Linked DNA regions of Tamandua tetradactyla. The protein of the gene in region 1 purifies or fractionates together with the protein of each later gene. This does not show direct contact. Links are inferred from orthologs where the notes say so. Each region holds a gene or a part of one and is shown on either strand. Other genes may lie near its edges.

Region 1 (7,599 bases):
GATGGACTGTGGACTTTGGGCCCTTGAAGTGATGCCTGATGAAGGCAGGTGGCTGAAGGATGCACTAACGGAGAAGTAAAACAGCAAACGATGGTGCATACTTATGAACAAGACTGTGCTGCTACAAAAAGGAACAAAGTCATGAGGCATGCAACAATGTGAATGAACATATGGGACATTTGGTGAGACAAAATAAGCCAGAAACAAACAAACAAAAAAAAAAAAAAAATGGCATGGACACCTTTAGAAAATGCTTATAAGAAAACAGGGGCCTAGATTGTAAGCTTTTGAGTAGATACATTAAGTCCGGAGTGGTGATTAACATTTCTGGATTTTGAGAGGCTGTTTTATATATAAATATATATATATATATATATATAACCTGATATTTAGAGTAAAAACAAAGCCGAACAGGTTGGGGTTAAAGTAATTCAGAATATAGGAGTAAGAAAAAGCGTCTACATTTTAGAACCACACATACTCTTTGAGACCAATAGAAGAAAGGTTTATTTGATCTGGAATTGAAATTTTCAGTCGTGTATAATCTAATTCAACCTATCTGTATAGCTCATTTGAATAACTGAAACACAGGAAGCACAGAATAAGAAAGAGGTCCTTTAATCTTGTATAGATTATTGTAATGCCTGGATACATCGTAGAGTATATTAAGCAGATAATCAAAAAGTACTGGCAAAGTCTCCTGAGGGAGGGGAAAAAGAACATGAAACTATTAAACCTTACCATTAGGTAAGGTTTGAAACCCCTGATACTGTGTCAAACTTTAGAGATATCCAAATCCACAGGCTATGCTCTTGATCATGAGGTTTACTCTTGTGAAGCTTATGTAGGTAGTGGAGAAGCTTAGCCTACCTATAGGCATGCCTAAGAGTTACTTCTGGAGGACCTCTGTTGTTGCTCAGATGTGGCTCAGTCTCTCTAAGCCCAACTCTGCAAGTGAAATCACTGCCCTCCCTCCTACGTGGGACATGACATCCAGGGATGAAAGTCTCCCTGGCAATGTGGGAGATGACTCCCAGAGATGAATCCAGACCTGGCACCGTGGGATCAACAATTCCATCCTGACCAAAAAGGGGGAAAAGAAGTATAACTCATAAAAGATCAGTGGCAGAACAAGTTCAAATAGGGTCAAGAGGCTATTCTGGAGGTTGCTCTTATGCAAGCTTCAAGTAGACCTTGCTATGGATCATAATCTGCCCACCCCCAACCAGGACCATTCCAGTCAATCCTAAAGAACACCTAGGGTAATATATAAGATTCCACAAGGGTTCCATGCACTAGAGTAACTTTCCAGAAACCTACAACTTCCAGATGGGTCCCTGGTCCACATAAGTCCTGAAACCTAGCCCAACCTTTCCAGAACATCAGATAGTTCCATCTTCCTACCCATATTAGTGACAGACCCTTCCAATATGAAAAATTTAGAATTACTATAGCCCAAACAACCCCAAGAGAGGTATGGAAAGATCAAAGGTGACAGCAGAATTACACATAGAAGATAGGACTTAAAAATGAATATGAATGCTGAATCATTAAATTGACATTTCTTTTAGTCTCCAGTATTTTAGAGTAGCTAGAAGTAAAAACGTGAAATCGTAATCTATGTCAAAGTGTGAAATATGTTCTACAGCTAACTGTGGTGCCGTGCTTGGAAATTTATAGGTTTTTTGTATATATGTTATTGTTCACAAAAAAAAGAAATAAAAAAAAAGTCGATTGTGATGATAAAAAGTGTTTAAGCCCTCTAGCCGTCCATATTCTGGAGCAGCTAGAAGGAAAAATATGAGAGGATCGTATGGTAGCCCATAACAAACTCTGGGATCTGTCCTGTAACAATTTGTTGAAGAGTACTTTGAAAACTATTGCTTTTTTATTTCTTTGCTTTGTATATATGTTATACTATACAATAAAAATAGTTCAAAAAAAAAAAAAGAAAGCCTGAAGTTAATGTTTTTTTCCAATATCAAGCTACAGATACATTCTTGAAGGAAAAATCCATATTATGCAATTGTATCAATAAACAATCTTTATTTAGATCATTTCAAATATTAATTCAAACGTATTTACTCTGCATTCTTACATTTCCAATATAATATCATAGATTAAACATAAACTAACAGTAAATACCAAAGCATCACTATTTTTACATGCTAAAAGAAAAACAAAAAACTATAGGGGAAGGGGTTCTAATTTAAGATCCCTACTGTCTAGCATCCATAAATACTTTTGAACTAAGTGGAGAAACACCTGTCAGTGCGGCAAATCCGCAAGTTTCAGAGATTGTGTGCCTATTAATATTTAATTCCTTAAACAGTAAATAAACAACCCAACTTCTTTAAACAAACAAAAAAAATTACGAAGAACATTTGACAAGAACGCCTACAAGACTGGCAGAACACTAGTAATGTCCCTGTTTTATGTCTCCCAGTCTTCGTAAACTTGCCGCGAGGGGAAAACTCGACCTGCCCCGGAGCCGCAGGAGGTCCGGCCGCGGGGAGCCGGGCGCTGCCCACTCTCCTTTCCACGCGCGCCAGGCCCCGCCGGACGCATGCGGGGGGAGCCAGTCACGGCCTCCGCTCGGGTCCCCTCGCCCCGAGGACAGGCGGCGCCTGCAGCCGGACCTCCCTCCTGACCCACGGCGCGCCGGCCCAGAGCCCGGAAGCCGGGGTGGGGGGTCGCGATCTGGCCTGGCCTAACCGAACCCGCCCCGGGGCTGCCAGCGGCGCGTCCCTCCTTCTCCCCGCTCCCCTTATTGATTACCTCTTGGGCGCCGGTGGCTGCTCCATGGCGGCCTGGGGCAGAGAGAGGGAGCTGGCGGGCGGGGAAGGCTGGAGGGAGGAAAGAAGCTGGAACACCCGCCGGCCGGGCCCGGGGAGCCAAGGAAGGAAACTCCAGGAACTCGGACCAACTTTCTCGTAACTCCGCGGCGGATCCTACGGCCGCTGGGGAGTGTGGCTCTTCCCGGCCTGCCCCGCCCCTCGGCCTCAGGCCGCAGCGCAGGGTGGTGGGCGGAGCCGGGCCAGGGGGAGTGGGCGGGGCCGACCGCGGGGCGGGGAGAGTGAGTGGACTCGGAGACCCGGGAAGGGGCGGGCCGCGGCGCAGAGAAGGGAAAAGGGGAGGGGTGGATTGGAAGATCCAGAAGTTGAGGCTATCTAAGGACTCTTCTGTGCTGGTGAGGGATAGGTCCCTTTACAGCCGGTTCAGGACTGCTGCTCCTCATTTCTCTTCCCTGCGTTTGTCCCAATGCGATTTGAAACATTTCTCTGGATTTCCCACACGATGCATCCCAAGCATCTTGTGAAGCCGTTTGAAGTACTACTAACTGCCCAGGATTTCTTCCTTAGTTCTGGTTATAATTACTGCTTCTGTTTTCCCCCAGCGATTTGACATTTGTAGCTACAGTAGTGGTGATCCTCCTGGAAATTCTTGTTTTTTTTGATTGTGGACAGGCTCCTCATTACATTTCACAATAATTACATCTAATTACAGAGAAAATAATTACTGCAGTGAGATTCTCAGGCACAAACGCAGTATTCTATTAGGTAACCTAGCAAGAAATAGCAGAACCTATGGTGCATAGAAAAGCACTCAAGAAAAATTTGTTTCCTTCCCTCTTCTCGCCCTCCTCCCTACCTGTTCCAACCACACTCACCCTACTCTGATAGTATCCCTTCATGTTTAACCTTAAATTCCACATGTGGCTGTCTTTCTTATGACCAACTACAACTGCTATGTAAGGAGTTTTCTTGTTTTTATTATAAATTGTCAAGGTATAAAGTCCTATACGGTTTTCTCAAGGGTGGAACAATATATAGAAGAGAATGTTGAATAAAGAGTCTTTATGAACATTAGCCTAAATTGTCGATGGATTGGCTTACCAACAGGAATTCATTGGTTCATGGTTTTGAAGACCAGATGTCCAAAATCAAGCCATGCTTTCTCAGTGTTCTCACGCTGGATTGCAGCAATTCTTGGGAATTTCTCTCTCTTTCTCTCTCATTCTCACTCTCTCACCTGCTCTTCCAGTTTCTCCTAAATCCAGTATTGGCTCTTGACTCTTATAAGGCCTCCAGTAATATAGACAAAGGCTGACGGGATTCAGTGAGGCCATACCTTCACTAAAAATAGTATCTTCAGAAGTTCATACTTATAATGGGTTGATACCCACAGGAATGCAGATTAAGATAAGAATATATCTCTTTTTTTGGAGTATATAATTCAGTCTACCACAACACTTATTCCTCATTTTGCATTTTTAAGTTTTATTATGTAACAAGCTTTCACAATTTCTTTTTAAACCATCATATCCACCCACCCTCCCAAATTTAGTTATTTTAAATTTAAGGCCACTCATTGTTGAGATCTAAAGTCGAATTTTGTAAATGAGATTCTTGCAAATTTGTATACTCATTTGAATATATTGAAGACTCACAATAGCAAGATAAACCAAAGAGTTAAAATGAGTTCTGAATTGCCTTAAGCCCCAGGAAGCCCCTCCCAAACTCCAGCCCAGTACCACCACTCCATGCCTCCCACACAAATTCAAGTTATGAAAGAGAAACCTCACTTTTAAGAATCCATAGTACTCTGTGCTGGGCTTTGTGTGGTGCTTATCACATTGTATTGAAGTTCTCCACTCTTCTGCACCTTGCTGTCTGCCCTGGGGGCTGACCCGTGGGCTCACATCAAAGGGCTCCTTAGCCCTCTCTCTTTTAAATAAGTCTAAAGATAGGGAAACCCAACAGGAAGTCTTCTGCAAGGGGGAAAAGGAGTGTGAAGTCAGACTATTTATGAGGTCTCCTGGGACTAGATGTGTTCCAGGAAGTCCTCAATGATCTTCTCAAGGCAAAACACTTTACCCAAATCTCCTTCATTCCCCTTCTCCCTTTAGACCTAGGGGCCATGTGATTGTTCTACTTTTTACTAGGTTTCTCCTCTATTCCCTATGTTCCTCTACACCTCAGCCTCCTCAAATGATCCTTTGTCATTAAACCCTTCCTCAGATGACTCTAATTTGAGTATACTTTCAAAAGGGTTTTCTGTTGGAACCCTGACTGACACCGAAAAAGAAGGTTTATGGAAAGAAGGAGAATTAATATTAGAAAATAAATCCTCGGTGTCTCCCCTCTGTTTGAAAAGGGAGAGTACTAACAAATGTTGTATGAATCCAACAGGAGGACATTTGGCCTACATAATCTCATTCAACTCTTTATTTAATTCTATGAAATGTCCTCATCACAACAGACAAGTCAGCACTTGCCCAGCCACCACTTGTCTAAGTTGACACACGAACATGACCATGACACCCACGTTGGGGAAACATACAATAACATAAGAACCTAATTGGTAATTGTGTTGGTTTAGAGCTGTTATAGACCCCAGAAAAGGCCATGTTCTTCTTTTTTTTTAAATATTTTTATTGATAAATCTTAACATGCAAACATTCCATATATGATGTTACAACAATGGCTCACAACATCACATTGTTGTGTATTCATCACCATGATCATTTTTTAGAATATTTGCATCACTTCAGAAAAAGAAAGGAAAAGAAAAAAACTCAAATACACCATACCCCATACCCCTCCCTCTCATTGACCACTGGTTTTTCCATCTACCCAATTTATTTTAAACTTTATCTTCATGGTTAATTTTTTTACCCATATTTTTTCACTCATCTGTCCATATCCTAGATAAAAGGAGCATCAGACACGTGGTTTTCAGGATCACACAGTCACATGGTAAAAGCTATATCGTTATACAATCATCTTCAAGAAATAAGGCAACTGGAACACAGCTCAACAGTTTCAGGTACCTCCCTTCGGCCATTCCAATACACCATAAACTAAAAAGTATGTGCTGGTTTGAAAGGATGTATGTACCCTAGAAAAGCCATGTTTTAATCCTAATCCCATTTTGTAAAGGCAGCCATTTCTTCCAATCCTTATTCAGTACTTTATGTTTTAAACTGTAATTAGATCATCTCCCTATAGATGTGTCTCAATCAAGAGTGGTAAGTTGGATTAGGTGGAGACATGGCTCCATCCATTTGGGTGGGTCTTGATTAGTTTACTGGAATCCTATAAAGAGGAAACATTTTGGAGAATGGGGGAGATTCAGAGAGAGCAGAGAATGCTTAGAGTCTACCAGCCAGCAACCTTTGGAGATAAAGAAAGAAAATGCCTCCCAGGGAGCTTCATGAAAAGGAAGCCAGGAGAGAAAACTAGCAGATGACGCTGTGTTAGCCATGTGCCTTTCCAGATGAGAGAGAAACCCTGACTGTGTTCACCTTGTGCCCTTCCAGCCAAGAGAGAAACCCCAATTGTGTTCACCATGTGTCTTCCACTTGAGAGAGAACCCCTGAACTTCATCGGCCTTCTTGAATCAAGGTATCTTTCCCTGGATGCCTTAGCTAGGACATTTCTATAGACTTGTTTTAATTGGGACATATTATCAGTTGCAAACTAGCAACTTATTAAATTCCCCCTTTTTTTAAGCCATTCTGTTTCTGGTATATTGCATTCCAGCAGCTAGCAAACTAGAACAAAGGGATATCTATGTAATATGTAAGAATAACCTCAAGGATAACCTCTCCATTCTGTTTGAAGTCTCTCAGCCACTGAAACTTTATTTTGTCTCATTTCTCTCTTCCCCTTTTAGGTCAAGAAGGCTTTCTTAATGCTTGATGCTGGGTCCCAGCTCATCCCAGGATTTCTGTCCCACATTGCCAGGGAAATTTACACCCCTGCCTGGGAAAGCTGTGTTCTTCTAATCCATCCCTGTGGGGGCAGACCTGTTGTGGGTGGGAACTTTTGGTTCAATTGAGAACTGATCCACCCCATTCATGGTAGCTCTTAATCCCATACCAGAGCCCTTTATGAGAGAACAAAGAGAGAAATGCCCAGAGACATTTGGAGAGAAGCATTGAAACCAGAACCCAAGAAAGAAGGACTAGCAGACATCACCATGTGCTTTCCCATGTGACAGAGGCACCCTAGATGCCAGCAGCCTTTCCTCAGAGAAGGCATCTTCCTCTTGATACCTTAATTTTGGACATTTTTTATGGCCTTGGAACTGTAAATTTGTAACCTAATAACTCCCCAATGAAAAAGTCAACCCATTTCTGGCATATTGCATTCCAGCAGCTTTAGCAAACTGAAATAGATTTTGGTACCAGAAGAGTGGGATGCTGCAATTTGCAAATACCAAAATATGCTGGAACGGTTTTATAAATGGATAAGGGGAAAATTCTGGAAGAATTGTGATAAGTTTAATAGAAAAGGCCTAGACTGCTTTGAAGAAACTGTTGATAGAAATACCGACGCTAAAGGTACTTCAGATGAGGCCTTGGACAGAAATGATGAATGTGTCATTGTCAACTGGAAGAAAGGTGATCCTTGTTTTCAAGTGGCAGAGAAAGTCTAAGTGCAGATAGGGTGGGCCAGAGAAGGCCAATGAGAGGGCGACTGAGGAAGTGAGGGAGTGAAGCCAGAACGTAAAAGAGTGAGCTATGCAGACATCCAGAGGAAGAGAATTTGAGGCCAAGGGAACAATATGGCCTGGAGGTGGGAGTGTGCTTGG
Region 2 (7,487 bases), on another chromosome or scaffold:
ACAACAAAAGCTTGTCCTCTCCGGAAATGGCACCTCATCTATCCACCCACACAAGCTGGAAGTAGGGGAAACATCCTCTAGATCTCATTTTCTCTCACCACCCTCCAAATCCATCCATATCTGAACCCTATTGATTTTACTCCCTAAATAGCTCTGAAATCCATCCAGTTTTCCCCATTTCCAGGGCATCTACTGTGGCTCAAACTCCTACCCTCTACAATGCCATCCTGCCATGTGAACTACAGCAATAGTCCCAATTGCTCTTCCCATAGTTCCTCTTACTCCTTCTAATCCAACCTCCATGCTGTAGCTCAGAGGTATGTTAAAGACCATTTCACTCCATAGTTGAAATGTTTGGTTGGTTTCCCATTTTCTTAGGATAAAGACCCAAATCCTTAATATGGCCTAAAATAAGCCACATAACTTGGCTTTTCTGGCTTCGTCTGCTGCTCACTGCCAGATTTATTCACTGTAGCACACTGGCCTTTTTTTCAATGACTTAGAATGTACCGTGCTTATACTGTGCCCTTTGCCTTGCATACTAAGTAATCGTTCAGAACACAGCCTTGTCATTTCCTTAGGTAGCTCTTCCCAACCCCAGACCTATTTGCACAACATCAGACTTCTGAGCCCTAGTGCTTACCACAATTTAGATAAAATAATTGCAATATTAGTTATTTCATATTTGTCTCTCCTGCTTGAGTGTCAGCCTTTAAGGACAAGGTCGTGTCTATGGGTTCATTGGTACATCATTAGCATCTTGGTGCAAGGCACATGATGAAGCTGGATAAAATAGGACAACTGTAAGTCCCTGGTCTCCTATTCAACTCTGAAAGAGTTAACAGACAACTGCAAGTTTCTTGTTTCTTACCTAACTCCAAAAGAACTTATACAGAGCTGCAAACTTCAGCTGCAGACTTCCTGCAACAAAAATTTCCCAAACGCCCCCAAACCTCCCAAAACTACTGAAACCTCCTCAAACCATAAAAACTTGTAAAATTCTGGGCCCAAAGCAAACTCTTAGTTAATAATAGCAAGCACAATGTCATAAAGATTGTTAACCATTTGCCCAAAGACAAATTTCAGGTATGTGACAACAAACCACTAATTCTGCTAGCTGTCTCCTCCTAGAACAAAGAAGACACGTACTATTCAAAGGTCACTGTGGAAACCTGCCACTGGTAAAACTTTCCTATAAAACAAGCTGGGGGCAGGCAATAGTGGCTGAGTGGCAGAGTTCTTGCCTGCCATGCCAGAGACCCGGGTTTGATTCCTGATGACTGCCCAGGCAAAAAAACACCCAACCAACCAAACAAAAAACAAGCTGGCCTACTCCATTCAGGGCATGTCCCTTCTGTGGGCACACCTGCATTAACCTCTCTAATGTGTACTCTCTCTTTCTAATAAATGTCTCTTTCAATAAACTTTACTTATGCCTACTGGCCCTCTCATCTCTGAATTCTTTTAGTTTAAAGACTATGGAACTTGGATCGGGGTTCAGCTGGCACCTCTGCCAGCAGGACATGGGTTACAATACCAGTAAATTAGTGTTCCACATTGATAAAGTACCAGTGCCCAAACCAGGCACTGCATTCAGCTTTCTTGTGCCTTAACTCATTTATCCTCTTAATGAAGCTGTACAGCGGTTCAGCTGTTATTATCCCTATTTTACAGATGTAGAACATGCACAGAGAGGTGAAGTAAGCTGCCAAGGTCACAAAGTGGAAAAGGGGATTTGGATCTAACAGTTCAGCTCCAAAGCCTGTGTGCTTGCGTGACACAGTATTTATTGAAAGCAAGTCCTTTTTAGCATTTATGGAATTGACCTACTCAGGGAATTGATCATAAACAAATTAAATATTCTAGAGCACCTCTTTAGTAAAGTGTAATATGTTTAACTATGGAGATGGTTATACTTTTTACCATGTTTTGGAAACTGTTTTTGTGGATCTTTGCCAAGCTCCTAAGAGATAATCTGTCCAAAGGTGAACACTCCTGGTGATAGAAATAGACCAAAGTAATAATCGAGGCCTTCGTACCTCTGAGACACATTAAAAAGTGGTCTTTAAAGATATGGGCTTGGAAGTATATATACGTTTTGCTAACAGAACAAACCTGAACTTCTAAGTGAACAGAACAAACCTGAGGCCAAACTTGTCATTGTTCCTAGTTTAAATGTTAACAGATAAGTCAATTGCATTTTAAACTGCTGTCTTAATTGCTTAGCATTGTCACTTTTTTTGTGGCTTTGGGAAGAGCAAAAATGCACAGGATGGAAAATAGGGTTTTGTTTTACCCCTTAAGTTTGACTCTAGTACTGGCTTGAGAGGCCCTCACCTGTGTTTTCATATCCATATTTAATAACCAAATTAACCCTTTCCAACTGCTGCAAGGTTGTCCTGAGTAGCCTGTAATGATGTTTGTATAGTTCTTTGAACTGCTAGAAGAAGGTGTTAATAAATCCCAAAGAATAAACCACTTAAACAGAGCACCATTTGATGAGGGGTAGACAATTCTCTGGGGGCTCTGAGTCATTATGAATGCAATGCCTTAAAACAGTCATGGGGGAATTATTCCCAAGGCATTTCATGTATTGTTAGAATATCAGATTTGTATAGATTTTAAGACTATGCCTATAGGATTTGGAAGCAATATGGATGGAAAGAGGAAAACTGTGGACACACTTGGAGGATGCTTTGATGGACAGAGGTTTCCTAATGATACAGACTGGGAAATTGGGGTACAGTCAGTTACACTTGGTGGGTGGGAAATCAGTGTCCCATAGGGGAGTGACTGGGAACTTCCTCAGCATGCTTTATCTGCTAATTGGGTGCGTGCACACTGGGAATTTCCAAAGGCTTTCTGGAAAGAGAGATTCCATCCAGCTGTGGAGGGGTTAGGGGCCAGTTCAGCCAAGGCTTCTGTTCCCTCCGCTAACTTGCCAACCCAGGAGAGGTTCTAAGGCAAGCAAGGAACTGTAGTTAGTGAAACCTTTTGGGAACATCAGTTTACAACTAAACAAATGTGGGACACCATCCAGTGGAGTGACTGCCAACCTCAAGCCCCCGCCTCCTTTTTTTAAACATTAAGCTCCTTTTTGATAAACATACACTTCTGGTAACCCTCCTTTAATAATTAAATTTTCAAAAATACCTTTTGTGAATACAAAGAAATCAAGGGAAAGGTAATGTTAGAATATGCTTTTCGAACTACATAAGCATTCCAATCCCCCCACGGTCTTCTTTCTGGTTGTGGGGCAGGCTCCAGCGAACGCTAGGTCAGCTATTCCTCCGCATTGCACACGAAGCCTTGGTCAGCCTGGGTCTAGACGACTGTTCCATTCGTCTCATTTATTTTCCACACAAACCTAGCTTGTCCTTTATCGCAGTAGCCTCAACGTGTCCTTTGTTTTGCGGCGCTTCCTAGGAATTTAAATTCAGGATGCACTGCAAAGGTTTATTTACAGCACATTGTTCATTTGTTTCACTTGATGGTCCTGTCCCGGGCCACCACGCGGGCAACCGGTTGAAGATGTGTCAGCAACTTTGCTGCTGGCATTTTCCTCCTTATTCAGTTTACTACAGGCGGCCGTGGGTGCTGCAGGCGAATTCGTTCCTAGCGAACGTGACGCCGGTTTTTGCTTTGGAGCTATCATTCATCGCAGCCAAGGAGCAGCAGCGCTGTACATTCGGACTTTTGTCATTTGACGTGTGTACCCGGTCAGTGTCCCCAATGAGGTGGCGAGGGCGTTTCCCCCGCGTGATTTCGCCCTTTCTGGAGAGAATCCAGAGAGCCGGAGACGCTGGCTGGGAACAGGACCGAGACTCAAGTTCTCCCGTGCAGGGATGGATGGGTTTAGACAGTAAACTGATAAGCCCCGGCCTGTATTCCACAGGGTAGATTTCATATTATTCATCAGCCTCCAAAGCATTTGTTTTTCTTTTTTAGCGCGGTCGAGAGCTCCCAGGAGCCCCAAGCAGGGTCAGCGCGCTCCACCCATCCGCCTTCAACGGACGTCGCTTCTTCCCGCCCGCGGACCACGCACACTACACTTCCCAGCAGGCACCACGCGCTGCGCCTCCAGGGACCGGCCGCGCTTAGGCTCCGCCCCACGCAGGGCTTGCTGGGAACTGTAGTTCACCGGCGCCTTCCGTCTCCTTCCTTCCATCAGGCATTGCCACTTGGAAGACGGTGATGCGGGACCATCATAAGGCTTCTTGTTTCGTAATCGGAGCTAACGCGAGAGAATATTGCTCCTCTAGCACCACGGGGCGCCCCGTTTCCTCCCACAAACCTTAGCGCCGCCCCTGACCACGCCCGTTCCCTTGACAGCTGGCCCGGGGGCTCCGGCCACTGCCGAGGACTGCAGTGCGCAGACGCATCGAGATCGCGCCGTGCTGGGCGGGTCTGGGGGCGGGGTGAGCGCCGAGCGGCAGGCGGCGGGGGCGCGCACGTCTGCACGCAGCCCGTCACGTGGGGCGCCGGGATCGCAGTGCGCGCGGCCGCGGCGGCTGGTGTGGGGTTGAGTCAGTTGCGAGACCGGAGCTGCTGACCCGTCCGGCGGCCGGCCCAGCAGCGCCAGGGCGGCAGGCGGAGGCGAGCTGGGAGCCGGAGCCGGGCTCGGCCGTAGAGCGTCTCCAAGCCCGTGCCTTCCCTGCCCCCGCCGGCAAACCGCCGCCGCGGGCGCGCCCCCGCTCTGCGCTGTCTCCGATGGCGTCCGCCTCTGGGACCATGGCGAAGCACGAGCAGATCCTGGTCCTCGACCCGCCCACAGACCTCAAATTTAAAGGTGGGCAGCGCGCGGTGGAGCTGACGACTGTCTCCCCTCGGGGGCTTGGCGTGGGGTCCAGGGGGCGGCGGGCGCGCGGGGTGTTGGCCTGACGGGTGCGGCGTCCCCTCCCCCACGCGCGGCCCTCCGGCTCGGGCGCACTCGCCGCCCCGCCGCCTCCCTCTCCGCGGTCCTCCTCCCCGCCCTCGCTCCTCGGTGCGCGCGCCGGCCGGGGGCGGGAGGGCCGGCCTGCTCCCGCTGCCGCTCCCGGCCGGGTCTGGCTCCCGCGCCGCCGCCATCTTGAGGCCCGCCGGGCGCTCCGGAGTGGTCCTCCCGGCCCCGCCGCTTTGGGGTGTCCCTGGCGGTCTCATCTGCGTGCTCCTCCCGTTCCGACCGCTTTGGGTTGTCCCCCTCGGCCTGACCTGGAGGTGCTCCTCCCTGCCCGACCCGGGTGCTACCCCCGGTCGGCTTCGACGTGCTCCCTTTGGCCCCGGGTACTCCTCTGGGTTCGGGGTACTCCTCTGGGTTCGGGGTGCACCTCCCCCACCGCGGCCGGGTCGTCCCCGCCGCTGGCCCTTTGACCTCCGGGCCGTTCGGAGGCTGCGGGCGGGCAGCGACCTGAGAGCAGCGCGCTGCGGTCCACGGGGGAAAGGGCGTGTGAGGCGGCGCCAGTTGCACCCGTGGCTTTCTGTCCACCGGGCGGGAGGTTCGGCATCGAGGCCGCAGCTCGCGACCCAGCCCCGGAGGGACACGGTCCCTCTGCCTCCTGCCGCCGTCCGCATCCCGGGGGAACGCCGGGTACAGCCGGCCTTTTGCCCGGAGAGGGTGTTGCTGCTCGACTTGACTGAGTTAATAACTCTCCTGTTAGGCGTTGGGAGCCCCGAGTTCTTCTGGTTATCACCTACCTGGTTTCGTTGTAAATGACGTGCGGGGAGGAAGGCTGGGCGCCAACTTGAAGATCTGCGGTGGGAGCGTCCTGGTGGTGGGGCTTCCCGTCCGCGGTGGCATTTCAGTTTACCTTGCGTGCAGAGCCCTGTCTACTCCGGTTCAGTTTAGCCCTTGAGCTGAGCGTCTCTGCTGCGGAGTCTTCAGTTTGTGGCATTTGCCTTTGGATTTGCGGTTTCCCACTTCACCGTGAAAAGGCTGTGAACGTTTCGCTCGGCTTCGTAAACGTCATTAATTTCTTTTGCAGCAACACCCACGATAAACTTACTAGTCTAACTTAGTGGTGCTTGAGGAATCCGGGGGCTATTTCGTCCGTTTGCGTTTCAGTATGTAGACGGAGGGTAGTTTAGGGAAGGAAATTAAAAAATGAACATTTGTGGATTTTTTTTTAAAAGAACTGCTGAAAGATTGTGACGTTCTTGAGTAGACTCTTTTATCCTAAGTATAGAGTGAGCTCCCTTTTGGAAGTCGTTATCTTGTATTTCAGTTTCAGTAGCTTACAATTTTGTAAGGTGTATAGCAGTTCCAGCGTTAAGAGAAGTTATTGTTGTATAAGGTCGTATCCAAAAGGAAAAAATACATCATTTTTCCATAGAAAATTTTAAATTAAAAAATTTTTTTGGAATAGTTTTAGCAAGTTCTTTTCTCTTTCACTCTGGAATTATGAGAGTATTGCATAACTTTTTAACTTTGCAGTTCTCTTAGTACATTTGTAAATTTCTTTGAATGGTAATGTGAGTTGCTTGTTAGGTAAGGATTTGATTTTATAGACAACTCTAAGAAGTATTTTGAGGTGCAGTGAGTGCATGACTTTCCATAGTTTTAGCTGAAAAAAAAACTTTTGAGGAATCCAAAAATTATCTAACTCAAATATCGATTATCATAAGCTGAGGAATTTTAATGTAAACTATTATGTGTGTTCTTTCTGCAGTTTAAATATTTTGTTTTCGTCTTTTGACAGCCTGAATTTAAAGAGAACATTTCCTTTATCTGATAACCAGTGTGTTGGGTTAGAAGCATTTAAAAACCAGTTTAGGCCAGGAATTGTCCACAGTTTGAAGGTTTCTTCCTAGAGTGGTTGTAATGCTGTCATAGTAAAAGAAATAATAGTAGGTTAAAAAACAACCCCAAACCCTACATGATGACTACATTTGATTAATGATGTTCAGCAATGAGTAATTCATTCAGCAGGTATCAGCTTATATTGGGGGAGTCATTGCTAATCAAGGTAGAGAAAAGATTCCCATGGTTAGTTCATAGTTTAATGGGGAAGGCATACAATTAAAAAACAGTAAAATGTGTTAGGTTTTGTCTTTGCCCTTGAAGAACTTCCAAGACTAATCAGGGAGACAAAAAAGGCAGGAAGATGCTCTAACAGAGGCACAAACATATCTATAAGAAAAGAGGGCCCCGCTTCTTTTCTACTTCCTCCTCACATTAGAGTAGGAAGCCTTAAAGGAAGAGACTAGCTATGGTAGGTGGGTGGTAGGGAGTGGGGAGAATGGCCAAAGACAATGGTTGAGTAAACTCACTGATGTGAAAGAATGCTTGGCATATACTCCCCCCCGCCTTTTTCTTTTTATTAGAGAAGTTGTAGGTTTATAAAAATTATGCAGAAAATAAAGTTCTCATATACCCCTTTGTGTACACGGTTTTCGCAGTTATCAACACTTTGCATTATCATGGTACCTTGTTATAATTGATGAAGTATACTTATAGTATTTATAATATAACTATAGTCCATAGTTTACATTGGGGCTCACTGTGTTGTACA

The links. The genes of interacting proteins can lie anywhere in the genome.
Region 2: the proteins of STK3 (region 1) and VAPA purify together in Homo sapiens (affinity purification with mass spectrometry; 4 studies listed by BioGRID and IntAct, counting the BioPlex papers as one, with this or other methods). This does not show direct contact. The link is inferred for Tamandua tetradactyla from reciprocal best matches to the Homo sapiens genes STK3 and VAPA.

Annotation. Positions count from the first base shown.
Region 1 is NC_135332.1:142,776,632-142,784,230, forward strand, and holds the start of STK3 (serine/threonine-protein kinase 3), read right to left. Parts: upstream 3,013-7,599; 5' UTR 2,805-3,012; coding exon 2,779-2,804; intron 1-2,778. UniProt on the Homo sapiens protein: Stress-activated, pro-apoptotic kinase which, following caspase-cleavage, enters the nucleus and induces chromatin condensation followed by internucleosomal DNA fragmentation.
Region 2 is NC_135344.1:73,603,058-73,610,544, forward strand, and holds the start of VAPA (vesicle-associated membrane protein-associated protein A), read left to right. Parts: upstream 1-4,482; 5' UTR 4,483-4,710; coding exon 4,711-4,789; intron 4,790-7,487. UniProt on the Homo sapiens protein: Endoplasmic reticulum (ER)-anchored protein that mediates the formation of contact sites between the ER and endosomes via interaction with FFAT motif-containing proteins such as STARD3 or WDR44.